Nothobranchius furzeri: one gene and its partners. The protein of the gene in region 3 interacts with the protein of the main gene of each other region in a biochemical or structural test. Links are inferred from orthologs where the notes say so. Each region holds a gene or a part of one and is shown on either strand. Other genes may lie near its edges.

What was found.
Region 1: of the proteins of akt1 (region 3) and mapkap1, one has a biochemical effect on the other in vitro, tested with the Homo sapiens proteins (3 studies listed by BioGRID, with this or other methods). The link is inferred for Nothobranchius furzeri from reciprocal best matches to the Homo sapiens genes AKT1 and MAPKAP1.
Region 2: of the proteins of akt1 (region 3) and ptpa, one has a biochemical effect on the other in vitro, tested with the Homo sapiens proteins (2 studies listed by BioGRID). The link is inferred for Nothobranchius furzeri from reciprocal best matches to the Homo sapiens genes AKT1 and PTPA.
Region 4: of the proteins of akt1 (region 3) and mxd1, one has a biochemical effect on the other in vitro, tested with the Homo sapiens proteins (2 studies listed by BioGRID, with this or other methods). The link is inferred for Nothobranchius furzeri from reciprocal best matches to the Homo sapiens genes AKT1 and MXD1.
Region 5: of the proteins of akt1 (region 3) and skp2, one has a biochemical effect on the other in vitro, tested with the Homo sapiens proteins (4 studies listed by BioGRID, with this or other methods). The link is inferred for Nothobranchius furzeri from reciprocal best matches to the Homo sapiens genes AKT1 and SKP2.
Region 6: of the proteins of akt1 (region 3) and rapamycin-insensitive companion of mTOR, one has a biochemical effect on the other in vitro, tested with the Homo sapiens proteins (7 studies listed by BioGRID, with this or other methods). The link is inferred for Nothobranchius furzeri from reciprocal best matches to the Homo sapiens genes AKT1 and RICTOR.

Annotation. Positions count from the first base shown.
Region 1 is NC_091746.1:37,008,283-37,011,782, reverse strand, and holds part of mapkap1 (target of rapamycin complex 2 subunit MAPKAP1), read right to left. Parts: intron 3,331-3,500; coding exon 3,241-3,330; intron 2,132-3,240; coding exon 1,983-2,131; intron 1,786-1,982; coding exon 1,613-1,785; intron 361-1,612; coding exon 184-360; intron 1-183. UniProt on the Homo sapiens protein: Component of the mechanistic target of rapamycin complex 2 (mTORC2), which transduces signals from growth factors to pathways involved in proliferation, cytoskeletal organization, lipogenesis and anabolic output.
Region 2 is NC_091746.1:70,997,707-71,001,895, forward strand, and holds the start of ptpa (serine/threonine-protein phosphatase 2A activator), read right to left. Parts: upstream 2,801-4,189; 5' UTR 2,679-2,800; coding exon 2,654-2,678; intron 1,979-2,653; coding exon 1,869-1,978; intron 1,673-1,868; coding exon 1,586-1,672; intron 449-1,585; coding exon 323-448; intron 246-322; coding exon 128-245; intron 9-127; coding exon 1-8. UniProt on the Homo sapiens protein: PPIases accelerate the folding of proteins. It catalyzes the cis-trans isomerization of proline imidic peptide bonds in oligopeptides. Acts as a regulatory subunit for serine/threonine-protein phosphatase 2A (PP2A).
Region 3 is NC_091758.1:33,917,168-33,920,667, forward strand, and holds part of akt1 (RAC-alpha serine/threonine-protein kinase), read right to left. Parts: intron 3,201-3,500; coding exon 3,072-3,200; intron 1-3,071. UniProt on the Homo sapiens protein: AKT1 is one of 3 closely related serine/threonine-protein kinases (AKT1, AKT2 and AKT3) called the AKT kinase, and which regulate many processes including metabolism, proliferation, cell survival, growth and angiogenesis.
Region 4 is NC_091757.1:29,115,900-29,119,884, reverse strand, and holds the start of mxd1 (max dimerization protein 1), read right to left. Parts: upstream 2,801-3,985; 5' UTR 2,685-2,800; coding exon 2,660-2,684; intron 2,261-2,659; coding exon 2,216-2,260; intron 1,540-2,215; exon of another isoform or gene 759-1,539; coding exon of another isoform or gene 692-758; intron 289-691; exon of another isoform or gene 231-288; intron 127-230; coding exon 27-126; intron 1-26. Other genes in the region: snrnp27 (U4/U6.U5 small nuclear ribonucleoprotein 27 kDa protein), read right to left, coding at 3,068-3,122, 3,436-3,500, 3,765-3,844, 3,955-3,985. UniProt on the Homo sapiens protein: Component of a transcriptional repressor complex together with MAX. In complex with MAX binds to the core DNA sequence 5'-CAC[GA]TG-3'. Antagonizes MYC transcriptional activity by competing with MYC for MAX binding.
Region 5 is NC_091746.1:70,411,010-70,414,481, forward strand, and holds the end of skp2 (S-phase kinase-associated protein 2), read right to left. Parts: intron 1,224-3,472; coding exon 1,172-1,223; intron 1,096-1,171; coding exon 988-1,095; intron 854-987; coding exon 649-853; 3' UTR 501-648; downstream 1-500. UniProt on the Homo sapiens protein: Substrate recognition component of a SCF (SKP1-CUL1-F-box protein) E3 ubiquitin-protein ligase complex which mediates the ubiquitination and subsequent proteasomal degradation of target proteins involved in cell cycle progression, signal transduction and transcription.
Region 6 is NC_091757.1:36,654,161-36,657,660, reverse strand, and holds part of rapamycin-insensitive companion of mTOR, read right to left. Parts: intron 3,276-3,500; coding exon 3,016-3,275; intron 2,925-3,015; coding exon 2,721-2,924; intron 2,635-2,720; coding exon 2,482-2,634; intron 2,133-2,481; coding exon 2,009-2,132; intron 1-2,008. UniProt on the Homo sapiens protein: Component of the mechanistic target of rapamycin complex 2 (mTORC2), which transduces signals from growth factors to pathways involved in proliferation, cytoskeletal organization, lipogenesis and anabolic output.

The DNA of each region.
Region 1 (3,500 bases), on a different chromosome or scaffold from region 3:
TTGCTGTTCTTGCACCTGGAAAGCAGATTGAATTGCTTCTGCGTATGAAATGTTCTATATAAATAACGCTGGCTTGCCTATTCACAGTTGAACGTTACAAAATAGCACTATTGGTGCTTGATAACAATCAGGTTTGCTAAAAATGTATTGCATTTTGTCAAAATATGATTATTCTGAGCTTACATTCTGACAAACAGTGATTGTCTAGAAGTGAGGCCAGGGGATGAATATTTCTCCACCAGCGCTAAAGTGCTGAAGCCAAACTTGTGGATTGGTTCGTTGGAGTCCAGCGGCGGGAAGTCGGTGTCCACCTCACCATCATCCTCAGCAATGTGGAGGCAGTAGGCATCTACATTCTCACTGTAGGCAGGAGCAGAGGGACACTTAACAGCTGTCACACAGAGGCAGACCAATACTGGTGCATAATGCACTTCCTGGTCAAGCTGTTATGTGGAAGTTTCAGGAAGGTTAGCCACAACAGGAACAAAGCTGAGAGATTGCAGAATCCCTTGTTCCACGGAGGGCTGTCTCAAAGCCAGTTTCAGGCTCTTCTCAGAGATGAGTCCAGGGTGACAAGATCGCAACCCTAACACCTTCAAGGAGGGAGTTTGTTCTGGAATCATCTGAAGGTCATTGGAACCATCTTTGAGACAGCACTGCAGGCTGGTTTAGAATGGTTAAACCACATTGCTGATTCTTATTATTTCACACACTTACTTATACACAGATGAACATCATTACTGTCATGTGACTACATTCACTGAAAGCTTGAAACAGATCAGGTGTCAAGTAACTTTAACCAACCAATTTCATCATTCTTCTCACATTCAGAACATCATCACATGGGGATTTTTTGGCCTGACCAGCCAGCCCCACCCTCGGAGAATTCTAATCGAGCCAATCAGTGCTGAGCAGCGTACGTCACACACCGCAATGCTGAGTTTCTCATAAACATGGCGTCTGAAGTGGAGTTTGCTGCGGCTCTTTCCTCTGTTCTAAATGACTTGGACATGTCTTTAAAACCACAACAAGAGGAAGCGATAAAAGCCTTTCTTCTAAAGAAAGATGTTTGCACCTTCGCCAAATGCCATTTTTGACTACAGCTGAAAAACTACAGCGTTGCGTGGTACAGTCTGCATTACGCCTTTTTTCTGATTGGTTATTTTTGAGCTGGCTAGTCCCGCCCCTCATGTACCTCCCTGCCTGTGAGTAACCAGACTAGTTCTCTGTGTAGACAGAGGATGAGTCTGGCAGGCCAGGCTAGGGATTTACCAAGACACTACTCATGATCAGTAAACAGCATGAGGTGATCTGTATGCTACGCAGAAACACCACTCAGCACAACAATTGCGATGATTATGAGCATTGTGCTCAGTCGCTGGCTTTTTGTCAGACTCTGAACCAGTGAAGCATCAAGTAGAAAGCTCTGGAATAACGAGTGACTCCACCCCCTAGCCAATCAGTGACTGACTTGGTCAGAACGCTAGGAACCACAATCAAGCAGGTACTGAAAAGTTGGGAGAAAATTACTGGAAGTGCCACAGACCCATCAGTGAAGTGGGTTGAGTGAAGAAACACAGCTGGAATTTTCTTGGGATGTCTTTGAACTCACTTGAGTTTGGGTTCTCTCCCTTCGCCTGTATACTGCCAACAAATGAGCCCGATGAGGTCGTGGACGCGGGCATTTGCAATGGTGACCACAGTCATTGGATGCACTTTCTCCTGAGTCATCTGCATTGAGAGGTAAACGTCGATCTTTTTCGTAGCTGTCGTTCCGATGTGACCCTAAAGTTGTAGAGAGTAAGAACTTTCAGCTCTAAATTAGTTTCTTTTAACATCTCCTCTGAGCCCGCCTACCTACAGCACAGATGAGTTAGTTTTACCATTCAATGCCTAACATACACACCTTTAGCCATTAGGCAGTGGGTGATCACAAAGGTCAAACTAAAGTGACATAGATGGACCGATAAAGGGATTCTCACCTTGCCATCAAACTTGGAGTATTCATTAAAGGGGTTGTTGAGCTGCTGAGGACACTGCTCCAGACGCAGGGACAAGGTGGATTTAGTTCCCAATGTCCGCAGCCTGTCCTTATAATCCCGTTTCTCAAACAGAGAGCCCAGATCTTCTACTGAACAGAAAATCAAAAAGTAGTAAACATAAATATATTCATGCCACTTTTATTTAAAGATGTGGATCACTGAAAAACCATTTTAATGATTATTTCTGATTATAATCAGTCACACTGAGATTTCATGCAGGCAGAACATGAAAATGGTCTCCTACACCTATCTCCTGCATTAGCTTCTAATAGAAAATAGACGGGGAAACTCTACGATTTGATAAGCCTGACAGATCTACGTCACACTGTCATTTAAGATTCATGGACTCACTCATTTTGACTCGAGATGGGAAGGGCTGTTGTTGAGTCAAGTATAGAGCAGAGGATGTCTCAACTAGTAGCCATTAGCATTAGCAACTCCACCACACAGCAGAACTCCTCCACGCTTGAGTTAGATGTGGAGATAAAACATCAACGTTACAGAGCAAACAGTCAGGGGTAAAGTTGCGTTGCTGTTAGCCAATCAGAGGTGAGATGTCCAAATATCAGGAAAGTCCAAAGTCAGGAGAGTCCAAAACCTATCGTCTGAAGCTAGTTTTTCCTCCAACTGACGTCCTGATTACGTGCATCTGAGCTTTTTTCCCCCTGAGTATGACTTGCTTACAAGGCATTTATTCCTACTAGAGACCACTGCAAATGTTTAAATTATGGAACCACTCCTTTAAGAATCATAAAAAATTTGATATTTGATGTTCCATATTATTAAATCACACAGACGACTGCGTTCAGTCCTTGTTTCAGATCTGTTGCAGCCCTACTCATTGTAAAAACAAAAGAATATGTTTAACAGTCACAACATGTTAGTTTTCATGTGTTTAACGGGAAATCCAAACTTTAAAAAGGGTTGTGGATATTTTAGATCTGGGTGATAAGGCCATAAAATATGATCACAATATTTAAATGAATAATTGAATACAAAATAGATCTAATAAAACAAAAATACATGACTATGTTATTTATGCCTTAAATGACCACACATGATCCTAATACACTAAAAGATGTGCAAGAACTCCCCTTTTACAGCAATGTTTGTCTAACCTGTTGGAACGTGATGATGACATCAGAGCTAAAACAGACGAGAGAAAAATTGATTATTTGAAACAATTTAAACTACGTACCAGACTGGGAGGATGTCCGGTCCTTCCACTGAACATTTTTACATTTTATTTGGTTCTGACGTTCTTTCCTCAGTCTTTCAAGCCTCTGAGCTGAAAACAAAAAGATGTTTCATTTTTATGTAATGGGAAAACAGTTCTGATTCACCGAAACCTGGTGAAACAGAGTTGGTATTTATGTAAATCGCATCATAACATGGTAAAACAAAACCCAACTGCACAGTAAAAACAAACGATATCCACTGCATTATTACTGTAATAAA
Region 2 (4,189 bases), on a different chromosome or scaffold from region 3:
TTCATGACCTGAGAACACAAACTCCATCAGACCTCCAGAGGGTCTGGAGGACCGTCCCTTCAGAACCAGTTTAACAGGAAGTCTGGCTGCCGGGAAGGGAAGCAGGATCAGAATCCCACTTTGTTACCCGTTCCATAGTCTATCCTGGTGGGGTTCCCGACCGACTCTTTCAGGTAGACGGCAATCTCTGGAGCAGCAGCGGATCTGTCGGCAGGAAGTACGGCGGACACCAAGGTCTCGGCTTCCTGGGAACACACAGGAACGACACACTCAGCATCAACGGCGTGGGGGTTCGGCGGTGTGGGAGGAAGTCTGAACCAACCTGCTCCAGTTTGGCAAACCAGGTTCTGTAGGCTTTGTTACCGAAACGCGACGGCTGGTCAACAGGAGGAGTCTCGTTTATCCAACGGTCCAAAGTCCCCAAAAGCTCCAGCAGCCTGTCCACCGTCTGCAACAAGCAACCACATGAAGCGGCTTCATCACCTGCTGTTCGAAGCGTCAGAACACCTCCACGAGTAGGAGGAACCGGAACGCTGCAGAGGGAAAACCTCCTCCTTAAGGGTAGGGTTGTCACGGTAACCAGTGTAGCGGTAAACCCCGGTAAAAAAGTTGACAATAATAATAACCATCTTGTTTTTTTAAAACATATGTTATCTCGGTGGATTACCGTGGCTGCGGTGTAGGCGCGGTGACCCTTACCAGCCACCGTATCATCTGCTGAAGTTGCCGGCGGCACATGCGCACTTTGTTGTTTACAACCAAAACTTTCTTGAAGCTAAAGCTGAAATAATGGCCAAAGGAGGAGACGGCAGCGCTCAGGAGTACATTTATTATCCCTCAAAGAAGACAAAGTGGGAAGTACGGGCATCTTTTGGATATCTGAAGAATGCCGAGGGACAGTTGATAGAAGACGGCTATCCTGTTTGCAGCAGGTGCAGAAAAAGTGTCTGTGAAAGGCAGCAACGCTTCAAATCTCATGACACATCTGCGTGACCATCACCCACAACTCTACAGTCAACGCAAGGCAAGCTAACGTTAGCGCTTTAGCTAAAATGCGTGATCCGAGGATTTGGGTTGAGGGAGAATGCAACGAGTCGCTATATAAAGCAGCCGCAGTGCCGCTACCTGCATATAAACCGTGTCGCGGACACCGCCATGTTGAAATGACGCTATGCATGACGGGGCTCCCAGGGGCAGATAAGAGTTGGTCTCTCCGAGAATAATTATGAATTTAACAATGATTACTGCCTGATGACATTTTCCCAAATCTGCAAAGCTCACTGGAAGGACACAAACCGAGGACAATATTTTCCTGATATACAGGGTTTATTTAGTTGTCTGAAAATGTAACACGTTTAAAAAAATACCGCGTTAATACCGAAAACCGTGATAATTTTGGTCACAATAACTGAGGGGTTACATTTTCACACCGTGACAACCCTACTTAAGGGACTTTGTTTGTCCGCTGAGACAAAAACTGGAGAACCGTGTTCTCAGTCCAAAGGAACTCCGTCTCTAGGAGGAACATCTCTAAAGGTGTCCGAGTCAAAATAAAAACCATTTCAGACATTAAAAAAAACCAAACCTCGGAGACTTCATATTCACACGACATCTTCTTTCCCTTCACTCCTTCATTCAGCGTGACGATGAAGCTTATGTAGTCGGCGTAGGCCTGTGGGGCACAAGCAGAACCTTAGACACACACCAGAGACGCCATGTCAGGTTCATGTCCTCCACCATCAGCTCAATCTGAACATCTGGTTTCTATAAAACTAAACTGATGGGGTTTTCTCCTTTAAACACAAGTCAGAGGAAAAGAACCAAACGGATGTGAGCTACATGTGTCAGAGCTGCAGGTAGACACCTACCTGAGATCTCTTCCACTTCCCCATGTCGGGCACCATGCTGATTTCCTTCTTAGGTATCATGAAGCTGGCCTGGGCGGAAACTTCAGGAGCTTCATCTTCAGGGGAGGAGGCTGAAAACATTCACTCAGTTAAATCATAAAGCTTTGGACCAAAAACTCTGGCTGACGGTGATTTTATATATTATTCTTATTTCACTGGACACAGAGGAAGTCCTGCTGTCATTCAGGTCTCAGCTCTAATTAATTTATTTAATTCTGTTGGATTAAATACGAAAATGAGTTTGTTGTTGCTAAAATCAGCATATTTAAATAGAAATAAGAACGGGCATCTACCCCCCCCCCCCCCCCACCCCCCCCAATAGTTATTTATGAAAGTTGTTCCTAGAAATATTGAATAGAGAAAAAATTAAATAAACTATTTGGAACATTATTGAAAAACACTGTAATTCAACGTTAAGAATACTTTCCGAGGTACATTCCTGCAGTAAAACACCGAAGATTGCCAAACAACCAACTGGATGTATTAAACGCTAAAAAAACATCACGAGCAATAAAAAATATTACAAATACATTTAAAATGAGACAGCATTTTAATCACGTGATTAAAATGTGAAGATAATGTTAGCTTATTCTGTCTCTAAGTCAGCGTGTATCTTCCGGGTTAGTTTAACCGCCGTAAAACTCGTTCTCATGGAGAAAAGCGGCTTAAACGCTACGATTAAAGACATTTTTACCACTTTGACTCTGAACTTAACGAAGAAACAACATCCCGGTGGATTTTTTTACCTGCCTGCTGCTTTGTTTCCGCCATGGCGACGCTCGCTCTTCTTCGTGGGTTTTGGAGAGTTTAACTCCGCCTCAGCTTATTACTGCGGCTAGGTGGCGAATGGTGGTACTACACCTTGAAAACCAAAGCTGGAAATACATGTTATCCACACCAAGACGCAAAATAAAATAAAATAAAATAAAATATAAAATAAAATAAAATAAAATAACCAGGCAAAATAGATTTAGAAGTTATTGTTTACAACTGTGTTGCGGCAAAAATCCGTCAGTTCAAGTGTGTTCTCTATAATTAATGTTTCTTTGGTTTCTGGTCAGGTCCCTGAGCGCTTTAAGAATGCTGTAACCAACCCAAATCTTTAAAAAAAACCCAGTCTTGACCCATCTCTAAACTTCCGTTCATCTCCAAGATCTTGGAAAAGGTTGTGGCCAAACAACTCACAGCTGATCTTGATGAACATAACATCTATGATGGTTTCCAGTCAGGTTTTCATAGAGCTCATTCAACTGAAACAGCTCTTCTTAGGGTCTTCTTAGAGACAATCATCATGCGGCGTTTGTGGTGGATCGGGTGAACCTTGAGGCGTCTGAACTATCAATGTGTGACAGTGTGAGTGTCCTGTCACAATGTCCCGATTGATCATGCGCCCTGGCTACTTGGCCATGGGGATGTCCCTTTGGCTGACTGGTAAGAACACATGACTCTCACCCGGGAGTCAGGGGATCGAATCCCGCCCGGGCCCTCGTTTCTCCACCTTGCCACATTTGGCGTTGTTGGCAGGATCCATGTAGTACTGTCAAGTAGGTCCATGGATGTGAAGTTTGTGGCACCCTGCGCGGGAGCACAAGGACGTGCTTGTGGAAAGAGTGGGGGAAGGTGGATGCATCTCATGTGAAGCAGACCCAGAGTTGAGACAGGCAAGCTTTCCTGATCCCAGAGTTCAGTTCCACTCCCATGACGTGATCACCCAAGAAGCGATCACGGAGCTTTTTTCCCAATTTTTGGAAATCCCCAGCCTGAGCAGGTGGTCTGCTAACGCCTGCGTCTGTGATTCCACTTCGGGCTCGGAGCATGTCAGCAGCAGCAGATCATAAAAGAGTAAAAGAGGATCCTCATGCCCGCAGTGCGTAAGGGTTGAAGCGCCATCTCCAGGCATTTGGAGAAAGTGCAAAGTGTGAGGACCCTAACCCGGGTGCACATAACTTAGAACCTGTTTTATTGTCAGTTTATGGAAGTGTTTTACCGCCATGAAGCGGTTGAACAAGGACAGATCGAGAACGGGCCTGGCTCCTCACGTCTTCTTCAGAACCAGGAAGTAGAGGGAGCAGAATCCTGAGTTTTCCTCGCCTTTCTGAACCCTGGAAATTGCTTCCTTTTCCAGGAGTTCCCTCAGCTCTGATCTAAGGGCAAGATAATTATCTGATGATGTCAGTTTGGTTACCACAATCCCCTCAAATGGCGGAGGACGAGACCGAAAATGAAGCTTGTGACCACGATATACAATGTTGTGAAACCATGCGCTCGTGTTGCAGATTCGT
Region 3 (3,500 bases):
TGGACTATTATACACAGCCTTCTTCAAGTACACCGACACGCACGACAGCCAGATGCCGTAAAGCAGCCTCCGCCTCCCAGACAAACAGAAGAAGACGCCGCATGGCTACATTGCAATTTCCCACGCGAGTTGTCTCCGATCCAAGTTTTGTCTGCCAAATAAATAAACAAAAACATAAACAGTGAATTTGGGAGGCGCTTCACAGCCCAACTTAATTAGCATACCAAGTCCGACACGTAGTTGTATATTCACGCTTATGTGCTTAAAGGAAAACTCCCGTTTATTGCAACCCAGACTTAATTTCTAGCATGCAGTACGTTTGTTTACTCACGCTGACAACTTTGGTGCTACTTGGATTCCCCGGGGTATTTAGATCCATCAGCGAATCGCCATCAGTGTATATCCATATAACGGGTGCGGACGGGCACCCATGGTGCAGCCTCGAAATAAGACATTATCTGCACCAAAACACATCTCAATGTCGAAAGGTTTTGTTAGAAATCATTAACATGATTCCCCTGTTCGTTTGGAGCGGGTCTGGGATTTCTAGGCGTGAACAGACTAGCTGCGGCTAATTAACCGGCGCTTTTAATGACGTCACTGCCGTGCGCCAGTCTGTTTTTATTAAGATTACCGGTAGATGTACCTTTGTCCTACTGTGGAGAAATTCCTTTTCTCCCTTTATTGGCCAACAGAGTTGTTCAAAAGTACAGAACAAAACATATGGCATTACATCTTATGACAAAAATGCACCTTAAACAGAGTTTAAGCAGCAAAACATCACTCTGCAAATAGTGTATTCATAGTGAGACAATTCATGATTTAAAGTGTTAACTTTCACCAGTTTTTGTATGCACGTTTTAAAAAATGCTGATACTTGAAAGGTTTAAGCACTTAATACACTTAATTCTTAACATTTAATTTTTGCAATATAAATTGAGGAATGTTATTTTTCGAATAAACTTGCTCAATAAATTGGTGTTTTTAAATAGTATCGAAATCGAGCATCGAGTTATTTTTCAAGTATCGAATCAAGTTTGAAATTTTAGTATCGTGACAACCCTAATGCACACACACACATATGTACCTCATTAGAAAGCCAGGATGCTTGTGATTCCAGTCATGTATGCCAATCAAGGATATAACATAACAATAACTGCAGACACAGTAAATGCTTTCGTCAAGCTACTCTAGAATTAAAATAATGTCTAACTCATCGTCCGAAGGCTCGTATCACTGACGGAATAGAACCATCTTGAACAAAAATGCTCTTTAATGCAATTCAATTCAAGTTTATTTATATAGCGCCAAATCACGACGAGTCGTCTCAAGGCACTTCATATAATAAACATTCCGATCCAGGTCAGTTCATTAAGCCAATCAGAAAAAAGTTTCCTATATAAAGGAACCCAGCAAATTGCATCAAGTCACCGACTAGTGTCAGTGACTTGATGCAATCCTCATACTAAGCAAGCATGCAGCAACAGTGGAGAGGAAAACTCCCTTTTAACAGGAAGAAACCTCCAGAGAATCCTGGCTCAGTATAAGCAGCCATCCTCCACGACTCACTGGGGATCGAGAAGACAGAGCAGGCACAAGGGTCCAATAAAAGCACTCCATAGACTCGTCAACAAGTCACCCAACATAATATATGGCTGGAAACACTAAAATTTCCTTCAGATGCATCTCTTCGGCAGCCTCATATCAGCTTCAAACCTCTGAGCGACATCCTATTTGATGCAATAGGTGAAGGGCAAACGCTTCAACTCCTGGCCAATAGGTCAGATGTGCCACCCCCTACTCTCACTTGTGTAGCTTGGAAATTTTACGGCACAGTATATTGTTGACTGAAGCATCAAATGGGGCCAAGGAAATTCTAAAAACTAAAATTCCGAGCATGACAACAGACAGGTGAGTGGTGGTTCTATGCTAATTCCTGCAATTGTGATGTCACAAACGGAGACTTTTTGAATCAACTTGTTTTATGCATACAATTCCTAAACCAAAAAGTGACCAAAACAGATGGAAAGCTGTTTTCCATGTTTTGAGTGTTTACAGGTAGTACAGAACCAACTAGCAGCACAGAAAGTTTCATTTGAATTACATACCCCAATTAAACAACTGGCAATGCGTTACTTTTCTCTGATTTTAGGCCATCAGCTAACTTTTTTATGCATCTCTTTAAAACCAATTCCCTTAACTCTGGGACAATATAAACATGTTACTTCAGTGTATTTAAATAGATTCATTTTTACCACATCGTGTGAAAGCCTTAACTATCACATGATGTTATCAAGTCCAGTTTCCACGTAAACATCCTCAATACCATGATTTCAAAATGTAACCCAAACTCTTGGCTTTCTAAATCAATTTAGACTCAATGCAGCAAATTGGCTGTTTTTAAGTTTATTGAGGACTGATGCACACAAAAAATATACATTTTGAACTTGAAGTTATGTAATCATTGTGCATTCCTTTTGAAATCCAGAAAAGAATCCAGGGAATCCTGGAAAGCCCTGGGTAAGCTACAATCTGCTGCATTCTCCAAGTGGCTTTGTGCATCCTGTGTTTAGAGTTCCTGAGGTTAACAAATAGCTAAACTGAAACCACACTTTAAAAACACTAGTTATGCACTCAATGTGGCAATGATGAGCAGGGGAAAAAAAAACCTTATCAGCTGAACAGACTCTTAGAAAAAAGGTGCAAAACACTGAGTATTTTGTCCTAGATGTAGTATTTATACATTAGCGTCGATAACGGATTTATTGTGACAGTTTGAGGAAATGCATTCAGGACATCTAGGAGGGCTCGCCACGAAAGCAAACCAAAATCAATAGTCTTTTTACTCTCGATTCCCTTTCAGTAAGGATATTATTAGGCTTTTAGACACAGTTTCCCCCAGAATACAAAGGGTTTAAACTATATTTTACAAACAGGACACATCTGAGAACAAGTATGTGAAAGTACTTCTAACAACAAAGCAAGTAAAAAGAAGAAAAGCATCAAACTGGAGGGTAGAACAAGCTGCCAAGACACAGAGAAGAGGGGGTTTCTTTGGAGCAGACACTCACGTGCTACAGAGAAGTTATTTAAGGGGGTTTCCAGCTGGTCAACATCTTGTGGTCGCTCTTTGTATCCGATAAATGTACCGTCACTCTTGAGGAGAAAATACCTTGGCCTCCAGGTTTTGATGTATTCTCCTGATTTGACAAAACAGGAAACAAAAAACAGTTAAGTGATGAAAGATGAGGAAAAAAAAGTTGCATTTTAGAATCTCCGCTGCTTACTCAGGAGTTTGTTTTGTTTTCCCAAAATGATAAGTGCAACAGTTTTGTGATTTTATGATCAACAACAAACAGGTTGTTCCCTTTAACACGTTTGCAGTTACAGTGGTGCTCATTCTTGTTATCTATGACACAAAGGCTGAATTTAGCAAACATCTGGACACATTTTTTCTGCATTTTCATTATTCTATGATGCACTCTGGTTAAAATACTACA
Region 4 (3,985 bases), on a different chromosome or scaffold from region 3:
ATTCAACAAGCTGAGTATGCCTTTACCTGCTACTTGTGTTTTTCTTGCTTTTGCTTTTCCTTTTCAAGCTTTCCCTCTCTCTGCTGCTGATGAAGGGTGGCATGGAGGCATAGCCGTGTTCAGCTTCTGCAAGCAAATAAACAACAGTGGTCACATGTCCTGTTATCTGCAAACATAGCCAGGGTGGGAGACACGAGATGTTGCACACATCCCCATCTGCATCATCTTACATCCAATGTGTTATGCTGGGATGCATGCATGGAATGAACGGATTTAATAATGCAGTATCTTTAAACAGTGCCCCCCCACCCACCCTCACAGCTTGGACAATGATGTCATCCTGAACTACGATAAACCCTACCAGCAAACCACAACAGAAGGAAAGGAGGAGCTTGCAACTAAACATTGTGTTCCTATATTTTTAATAGCATTTGCATGATTTCTCCTTTCATAAAAGATGCACAATGCACGTTAATCACTGCACCATTCATATTTTATAAATCCTATTTATTGTCATCATCATAGTCAACGATGAACACCTGGGTTAAGAACAGGATGTGCAACTTAAGAATATAAAACCTATTTGCCGGACGCATAAAGAGCCCGATCAGCGTGATAATGGGCAGACATGAACGAAGTGGGAATGTGTTGTTTTTTAACAGCATAGAATTAGAATTAAAATATACTTTACCTCGTTCCCTGCGATCGAGGTACTCTGCTGCTTCGATCAACATCTGCACCATTTCGATCGACGCCATTTTCAACAATAACACTAATAATATTACAATAATCCAACGAGGGATTCCGTTACTGTAGTCACGCTTCTATTTCTGAACTCTTGGGTTCCCTGTTGTTCTCACTTATTGTTCTAAAATGTTGTTTTCGAGTTGCTTCTGCAGGATTTCAATCAATCGATTTTTAAAATAAAAGGTCCCGATAAAAGACGTGGAAAGCGAAACTGGTTTCTCCTATATAAAAAAACAGCTTTAAAGGCTTGGTGGTAGCCTTTTAGCCACGGTAGACGCTAACACTTCCCCACAGCTAAGATTATACCTTTAAACCATTTGATTTGGGTGACTTAGTATCACTGGTTAGACGAATCTCTCTTCAAGAAATACAGATGGCTGTTGATAAAAACGAAACAAAAAATCGATAGTATTTTCTGACTAGTTTTAGGAATAACAACAAAAAGTTGGCAAACGTTAGCGACTGACTACAAACGACTTTAGGTTCAAGTCATCAGCCAAAAAACAAAAAGATGCTGTTAGGCTGGACGCACTTGCCGGAAATCAGGAATATTTTAAAAAGATGAACTAATTCCTGGATTATCTTGACGATGCAATCCAGCCGTTTTGGTTCCAGACTTTTTGGCTAGCTGGTTATGTACTGGTTATCACTAAAAACGCGTGCCTCGTCTAGCTGAATGTAACGACTGACACAGAACGGCGGAAATTTGTCAAAGTGCATCCAAAATAGAGGCTTATGTGGATAGCAGCTCCCAACTGTACTGTAACACAAAGCCGCTGTGTGCTGTCACATGATTGGATGTTGACTATATCCACTCCAGCTTTTATTGGCTGTCTAAAACATCAATGACTCAAAGGGATCGACCCACACTGCAACTGATAACCGTCCACGCCATTTTGGTTCTTAAGTGAACTAGACCGATGTCTGTGGACTAGACAGTAAACAACTAGGGAGCCATAATGGACGGCTTTTCTCAATACTGAATTCACGTTCTGTGATTGGCTGTTTTCAGGTAAACTTGTCAGCTATTGGCTCCGATGCCCACGAGCTCACGAAAATGTCAACGTCCCTTTAACAGAAGCCACGCCTCCCTGCCATGCTGTTTCGTGGTGTACGGCTGTGATTGGCTCTCGTGGTGTTGTTTGCCTCACTTCTTCCTTCTACGATTGGTTTGATAGTCCCTTTACTTTTCCTATCACAACCTGCAATGTGCGCGCAAGCGCACTTTCACAAACTTTTTAATAGAAACTTTATTACTCACATACACACACATTAACTTGTTACTCTGTGAAAACATCTAGACTGAAATATCAACGCACGTACCAGCGCGCCGGGTGGACGGAGCTTACGCAGTGTTACGAGTCCAACACGCCCACCATAGTAGGTTTTATGCAGGAATCTATCTGAATAGAATTTATATGTATACATTTCTAGCAGTGCAATAATCTGCTCAATCAATCTGACTGACCTCCGTCGCCGCTCATCACTTCCGCCAGGTTCATTCGCCGGCACACTGAAAAGAAGCGGACCCGCATTCAAAAAAAGTACACAATGTTCCTGAATGCAATCAACGTGAAACGACGAAAAATATGTTAACAAAACAAACAAAAAAAAAAAAAAAAAAAAAAAGAAAGAAAAAAAGAAAAGAAAAGAAACCGAGACAACTCCTTTATCATTCTCGTGCAACGAAAAGTACCTTCCAGGTACTCTTATGCACCAAAAATCCAAACCCTAATAAAAAATAAATAAAAAATGCAAGAACATTTACAACACACACTTCTGTTGTTTGAAACTTCAATAAAGTTAAACTTTTATTTAATCTATCTTTAAAGCTCCGCTTTTGCATAGATGTGTGGGACTGTGAGATGCTGCAGTAATCTGACAAAAACTTTCACATTTACAGAAAACTCACAATATGTGAAGATCTTTTGACACATTTGAGTTTTCAACTGGACTAGTGGCTCCAGCCGATCTCAGGAACGACCCCAGGTATCTCTGTCCAGAGGAGACATTGGATTAGACGAAGCTCCCTGGTCTCTGGTACTAGTGACGACTCCTCAAATACATCAACACAAATTGACATGTTTGTGCAGATCTGGGCAGAAAAAGAAACACATGCTCTACATAATCAGCACACCATCAATTTCAAAGAGTTTATTTCCAACAACACGTAAAAAGCACAGCAACAAAAACTAAATAACTGAAGGAACAACTACATGTTGAGTGATAATATATACACAGAACTGCTGCATCACATTTAACAGCATGTAATCCATGTCCTCCCCTTGCTGGAAAAAGGAGGAAATGCAGCGTGACATTTTCAAGCGATGAAATCCAGCGGCCTGTTGAATCCTCCCTTTCTGTTCATGTACTGCCTGTAAAAACATTTAGAACAACAGTGCATCACAACTTCCCTCTCAACACTTGCAGATTACATCATCAAGAGTCAATAGGAGAGCAGGATTCTCTGCAGAGAGACACCTGCTGACGTGATTGGCTACTTTAATAGTGGTTGCTGCTTGTAATGCCAATTTCCCAACAGGATAAAACTTTGTTTATTAAAAATTAGCTGCTTCAACAATCATTTTAAAAGTCGCTCTGCTTAATGTGCTATGCACAAAATTCTCCATGACACCGCTAAACTTCAGTATTTGCAGGCTAACTTGATATTTTTCTCTGTGAACGTACCTGTACTTTCTCTTCATGCTAACGTTGATGGCAAATGCATTAACTGATCCATCTGTTTTCTTCCCCTGTGGGAAAACAATGTTCAATCACAAACAGAAATACATGCTGCAGATGCTATCCTGATGTGGTCTATTACATTTACAGTTCATCAATCAGCAAACGCTACTAGACAGTGGCTGATGGTGCACTTCCTGTCTTGTGTCGTTTTCTGAATGTCAAACAGTCTTAAAACTGCGAAGTATCAGCAAGCATGAAGCCGTCGTGGTGAATGGCCACAACTCAGGAACACAGCGCCACCTGGTGGCTGCATGCACACATTTTTCACTCACTTTAGAAGAATCAAATGAAGAAAATCCCATTAACTTCATCATTTCAATTTCCTCCTCCGTTTTGCCCTGCATGTCCTCTGCTGTAAAAACAGAAAGAATATCTGATTTAACTCATTGTTTAAAGACGTTTATAAATGTCCAGCAAACTGAACAAAGGATTTCTTTCTGAAAACAATCAGCAACACAAAACCTGAGATCTGGATGGGCTTTGAAGACTTGTC
Region 5 (3,472 bases), on a different chromosome or scaffold from region 3:
CAGGACCGGGTTCCACACATCACTCAAGAGCCGGGTTCCACACAACACTCAGGACCGGGTTCCACACATCACTCAGGACCGGGTTCCACACAACACTCAGGACCGGGTTCCACACAGCACTCAGGACCGGGTTCCACACAGCACTCAGGACCGGGTTCCACACAACACTCAGGACCGGGTTCCACACATCACTCAGGACCGGGTTCCACACATCACTCAAGAGCCGGGTTCCACACAACACTCAGGACCGGGTTCCACACAGCACTCAGGACCGGGTTCCACACAGCACTCAGGACCGGGTTCCACACAACACTCAGGACCGGGTTCCACACATCACTCAGGACCGGGTTCCACACAGCACTCAGGACCGGGTTCCACACATCAGAACTGTTTCAGGATTTGGAATGGTTTAATGGATCCGACTCGGATAAAAAACTTGCGGTTCTGAAAACATTCACTGATTATTTAAAATGGATCAGAGTCGAACTTCATGCGGTAGAAAAACTTCAATGATTAAAATCAACAGCTTATTACTGAGCAGAACCAGAACTTTCAGCCCGTATGGGCCGGGCAGAACCAATACTAGCGTAAAACCCGAGAAGTCCGGTAGGACTAGTGGCACGACCAGCGTGCTGCAGCAGAACCCCGTCAGGGTCCCGCCCTGAGCCGACACGTCCTGCCCCACATGCTGCGGTCCGGCCGGGAGGCGGGAGTGGGCCGGGCCACGGCGGAGAAGGGTCTGGAGTTGATGCTAATGTGGGGAAGCTCCTCCTTCAGAGACAACAGCTGGTTCTCCTGGACCAGTCCAAAGATGTCCAGGAACCGGAGCGACGGGATCAGCTTCTCCAGGTCGCTGCAAACACCGGGACAGAACCAGTTAGTCCTCTGAAACCATTGGATCAGCGGAACCTTTGACATCAGTCAGCTGATTCAGAACCAGTACTGGTGGGCTCTTGGTTCTGCCCGACCTGTTGCATTAGAACTGACCTGAGAGCAGCCAGGTGGATGTGATAGCAGCGACTCAGAGACAGGTGCAGCAGCTTCCGGAGCTGCCGGAGAACCGGGAAGCTGTTGGCCGTCAGGAGGGTGCCGTCACTGGAAAACACACCTGGGTTAGTGCTGCTCACCTGGTAGGGGGGGGTTGTCACATGACTGAAGGAAACAGTCCTACCTCAGATCTAGAGTCTGGATGTGAGGACACCGGTCCACCAGAACCTTCACATCTAGAACAGAAACAAACCCGTTCATGTTCCGGTTCTACTTTAGGCTGGATCAAATCCAAGTTTCCCCCACATGAGACCCGTATCGGCTTTTTTATGTCTGAACAGCACCGATCCGATTTTTGCAAACCCGATCCATATGTGGTACTGATTCTGATCCATATCTGATGTGTTTGAACGCGGCAGCAGGGTCAGGGGTCATCCTGTGGATGAACTGGCCCAACCAGCTGGTTCTGCATGGCTGCGGAGCCGAGTTTTAACCTGAAGACGGGGACACGACGACGGTTTTGGGCTGAAATGTTACATTTAAGGTGAGTCGCACCAAACTGCCACACCAATGATTACACGTGTGTACGTCACCATCAGACACTCGTCTGTACAGGTCGTCAGCAACACAAAGTTCATTTAGGCGTTGCTCGCTCTCGGAGTACTATCGATCTTAAAATGTTCTAATAATAGCGCGCGAACCCATTTTTTATTCATCAGACTCTCAAAACACCATGTCGAGTCTGATCACACAACAGGAGAGCCATTGTGCGTTCCAGTTTTGAGTTCCAGGGTCCAACTCGGAGAAGATGGACGCCACTGACGTTCCTAATAGTGATGGGAATTCCGGTTCTTTCGGCTCCCAAGTGGCTCCTCAGATTTTCTGTTGTGTAGAGTACATTTATAACCAAAATAATGCTAAACTATATGTAAAAGGATTTACTAATGTAAAAAAATGATGTATATCAAATATTTATCATTTCTATGGATTTAATAATTGAACACTTTAAGAAATCTCCACTTTCCGACTGCTGGCGCTCATTTTCTCACCGTCTTCGTCGCACTCTCCTCTCTCTCGCTCGCCTTTTTCCTCCTCCTCATTCCCGCTCGCCTCCCTCCGCCCGCAGGTGCTCTGCTGTGTGTCTGAGTCTGATCCTCCCTCTTCCCCGCCCCTACTGCTCTGTGTGTGGACAGTCTGGACACACAGTTACACATGTTAACCAATCGCCTGTAGCTTTCACCAAAGCAAGAGGGGTGGGGGAGGGGACGGCTCCCGTCGTTCTCTTCAAAGAGCCGGCTCTTAGAGCCGGTTCGTTCGCGACCGACACATCACTTGTTCCTAAACCTAAACACATTTTACTGTGTTGGAAAATCATATATGTACGTAACTACTCTCCACGCTCTATAGTTATTAGGAACGATCTATTTATGTTGGACAAAACAAACCACTGTTCTGTAGGGACTGGTTAGGTGATATATGGTCGATTATACACTTAATGGATCTAGGCGGTCATCTTGAATTATGAAAATCTGCAGAAGATACAATTTTAATCCTTCTGAACGTGACTAGCAGATTACACAACGCACTTCCAGAGCAATTTATCATCCAAACCCAAGAATATCTGCTATCCCGACCGTTCCTGTCTCATCTAGAAAACACCTTCCGTTAACGGACAGAAAACGCAGAAGCCTTCCTATAATATCAGCCTTAAACCAATCCTCACTTCCTGGAAAACCATCTGCACCACCGAAAGCTAAAGAAACCCACTTTAAAATGAAAGCAATCCATCGTTCCAGATTCTTAAGACCTCGTTTTAACAGAAAGCAACAACTGCTGAAGTCATATAGAAACTATAGACTTCCTCTTTTACAAACGTCGGAAAGCACAATTGTTCTGGAAAAGCTGGAGATGTGGATCAAAATAAAAACGCCAGTTCACATCACTAAAAATATGATGATATTTGGAATTCTAATCAGGAATGAAGATATTATAATATCTTCCTGTTTAGCCACATTTTTAACCATAAACAACAAATTTTACCATCATCCCATCTTCAAAGTGTAACGCCCAAAAGGGTCGGTTTTCACCTTTCATCTGCGGCATAAATCCACTTCCTGTTTGGCCTTCCAGAACCAGAAGGTTCTGTTCAGCGCGTGTTTACATACATGAAGACAAAACATCCAGACGTTCTCTCCCAAGGTCCTACACTCTCTTCATGTAACATTCTTCACTCTGAACCGGTGAAGACTCCACCACTTTACAACTCATGAGTTAAATAATCATGTGATGAATGAACAAGAGGATTAAATGAAATGATTGAATAATCTGTGCTTAAACCAATGAATTCAAATGAATATTGTTCTTACCATGATCCATTTATACCACACATCAGTGTGTGTTGATGTAACAAGTTAATCATTGTTTACACTCACACACATTACAATAAGATACTCATTCAGGTTAAAACATGTCTGTATCTGAGGAG
Region 6 (3,500 bases), on a different chromosome or scaffold from region 3:
GTGTCCTGCTGGGAAATTTAGTCGGGATCAGAGTTGGTGATTTTTGGACCTTACCTCTATTCTAGAGCAGGGCCCTTTAATTATCATAGAATACATTTTATGGGACTTAGGGCTGGGCGATGCGGCCTAAAATCAATATCACATTATATTGAAGACTTCACCTCAATAACGATAAATGGATAACTAAATGTAAGCTCAGAAACAAACGTTGTCCACTAGATGGGGCTCTCACATCGTCATGTAACCAAGGTGGTACCGCTTCTTAAAGCTACGCCAACGGTCACACATCTTTATTTTTATATATTATCGAATTTATTGTCATGGGAAAAATGATATTGAGTCAGAAATTTCAATAACGATACATGTTCAATTTACTGCCCACCCCTAGGATATTTTTAAAACTGATCCAAAGAGACTCTGAAGGACTAGATCACACATTTACTTATTCTAAGCTAGATAACTTTAATTCTTTATTATCAGTGTTGTTTTAATTATTCTCCTCAAAGCCTCCAGCTGATCCCAAAGGTCGCTACCAGGGTTCTGATGAAGAGAGGATCTGATTTCTCCTGTTTAAGCATCACTTCATTCATTATATTCTTACTTCTGAAACTCTGAAAGCAGCATCTTAGATATTAGTTACCGTTTATCCAGATGTCCACAACAGAATGCCCGGCTCTCAGGCTGCAGCTTTGCTTGTGATTTCTAACGTTTCTAAAGGTAGATTAGGAGGCAGAGCGTACAGCTCTCAGGCCTCTCCCTTTGGAGGCACACGCCTGCTCTACTTTTAAACTAGGCTCTCCTATTTGATAAAATACGGTCATCTTGGCTCACCCTTTTAGTTATGCTGCTACAGGCTTAAGCTTGGTTTATGCTTGACGCATTCACTTTCCGCTTGGTGATGCGGCTCGCGGCTGGAACGCGCTTCCCAACTTGCAGCGTTTATGGTTCATGCGGCTTGTCTCTGCGGTGAGCCAATATTCTCCCAAACTGTAGGGGGCAGCATGGAGCTCTATGGCATGTATCCAACACTACACCATAGTAGAAGTAGAAATTATTGTTTACAACATGACATTCCAGCATTTTTTTAACAGCGTCCTCGTCTTTTCCGACAGTGCGAGCTATTTCTCTCCAAGAATTATTAACAACATGTTGATCACGGTGATCTCTGAGAGCTGAATCATACAAATGTCTGTATTTACGAACCTCTGCCATACTAGTTCTTGCCGGTCCGCCATGTTTTTCCGCGTCCGACCGTCCGCGTGGTTAGAAAATTTCCTAGGTGCACGGTGCGGAAATTTTGGGCCGTGCGGAGGTGCGGTGGGGGAGTGTGGTAGTTAAAATGACGCAATTTCGCCGCGCGAAGCTGTGCGGACCTCGCGGATGCGTCAAGCATAAACCAACCTTAAGACAGTCAAGTGAATAAAATGACTAAAGTCGTCAATTGCCTTTATTAATGGGGCGGGCGTGGAACGAGCACCCTGAGAGTAAACATCACGACTCTACAGGTGGATCTTCATCTGTGTGTGTCACATGTCACATGATCATGAAGCAGACAATCCATGAACTAGGAGATCAGTTTGGGACGCCGCTCTGCCTAAAGTGAGGCGCAAACTGGAAAAAGCTCCTGCAGCTCACATGTCAACAACGGACAGTGAAAGAACGGCAAGAGTAAAAAACATGTTGATTCATCTTTACATGGTCATAGAGCACAATGTTCTGAGACTCTTCAAAAAAACTGTAAAAACGCTCAAAAACGCTGGCCATCAGGAGTTTTCTGTTCATAAAATGGCTGGCAGTGACGGATTTATAGTTACAGTTGTTAACTTTGCTCTACAGGAACGAATACTGGCCCAGTCATTCTGAGTTGGACTCTTTCCTGTCCTCTCAGAGAAAATAAACGTGATGGAGAGCATCGATCCATCACTACTGAGCATCAGAGACCCAAATAAACCCCTCATCGGCAGACCGAAGGACCAGTTTTACAGCTGAACTACAACACCAGACTTACGTCAGTAGTCCTGTTTCGTGGCCTTTGGTTCCTACAGAAGAGCTGAGATTGATGATGAGTCGGAGAATCTCCTTCCTCAGCAAGACTCGAGAGGCGGGGCCATCCTCAGATATTGCCTTTCCACCTAGAGGACAAAAAAGTAGATATTCCGATTTGTATATTCATAATCATTCAGCAGCATGTTAGGGTCAAATGTTTTAACACGAACAAATAAATCATTAACAAACATCTAAATTCCTACAGGTAGACAGCAAAGTACAGCTCAAGCTTTGGAGTTCATGAGCCTCAGGGAACGAGGCTGCTCATCACCTGCCAGAAGGAAGGAGTGTGAACAGGTTGACTCCAAGCTGCTGCTGACATTAATTCATATGTTTGAAGATGAATCCAAGAATCTGATCTGACTAATGTGTGATAATGTGGCCTTTATGCCCTCCTATATAAAAGATACACGTTGTGGATGGAGGAGCACATACCAATGACGATGTCTCCAGGTGTGGGCGTGCTGGAGATGGACCCTTGTGAGACGGCAGCGTCGCTGCAGCCCGACACCCCAGAGAACTTGGACTGAGGCATCACCTCCAACCGATGCCCGCTCTGGCCTCCCCATGAAGGAAAATCCACATAATCTGGGGATTTAAAACAAACAGAGGTTTTATTGTTATTCTACACTAAGGAACACTATCATCCTTGCTAAAAGAATGTGTGCCCTCACCTCGAGGGTGTGTGCTGTTGATCTGTGGCTTTGTGGGGTATCCGAGGACAATGGCTCCCACACAGTAGAGGCAGTTTTCCTCAGTGTGATCCTGCAGGCCCGTCTCCTCCGAGCCCACCATGTGGTTAGGAGTGTCACCTCGGCACACGATCAGCTCAGAGATGCTAAACTGTTGCTTCAGTAATGGGACAGTGGGTCGATCCCCTACAGAGATAACCAAACAAAATGATCTTTTTCAAAATACTGTTCCTCTGTTGGGTTTGATCATTTAGTCAGACGTGATGCTGCGTTGTACCATCTCCATCACCAAACAGGAAGCGTTTCCGTTCCTCTGATGGTGGGCTGATCCTCTGCTGGAAGTAGGTAGATTCTCGGATGTGAAACATATCGTTGATGTTCATCGGCAGTGCCAGGCCAATGTAGTCGTCGTTACAGCCAAAGGTGGCGCTGGGGACCACGGAGCGCACTGACGAGCAGCGCTGCAGAGTGCTCTGGTTGATGGGGCTGAGGAGTTCCTCTTTATCCAGCGAGGCAAAGCTGAGAGCTTTCAGAAACCTAGGGAGGGCAAGAGGACAGGTGCGTGAGAGGATCCGGGGGGAGAGGCTGGGCGAGAATAGGAACACAGGCAGTAGGGGGAAATGCATCGGGTAAAACGACAGATGGCGATTGATCAAAGAGGGCAGCTTCACAAAGAGCAATCACTCATCTGCAGACAGTTGTTCAAAGAGAGAAAACTTCATTTTGACCACAAATCCACTTCTCCTGAACTTTAGGAGGAAT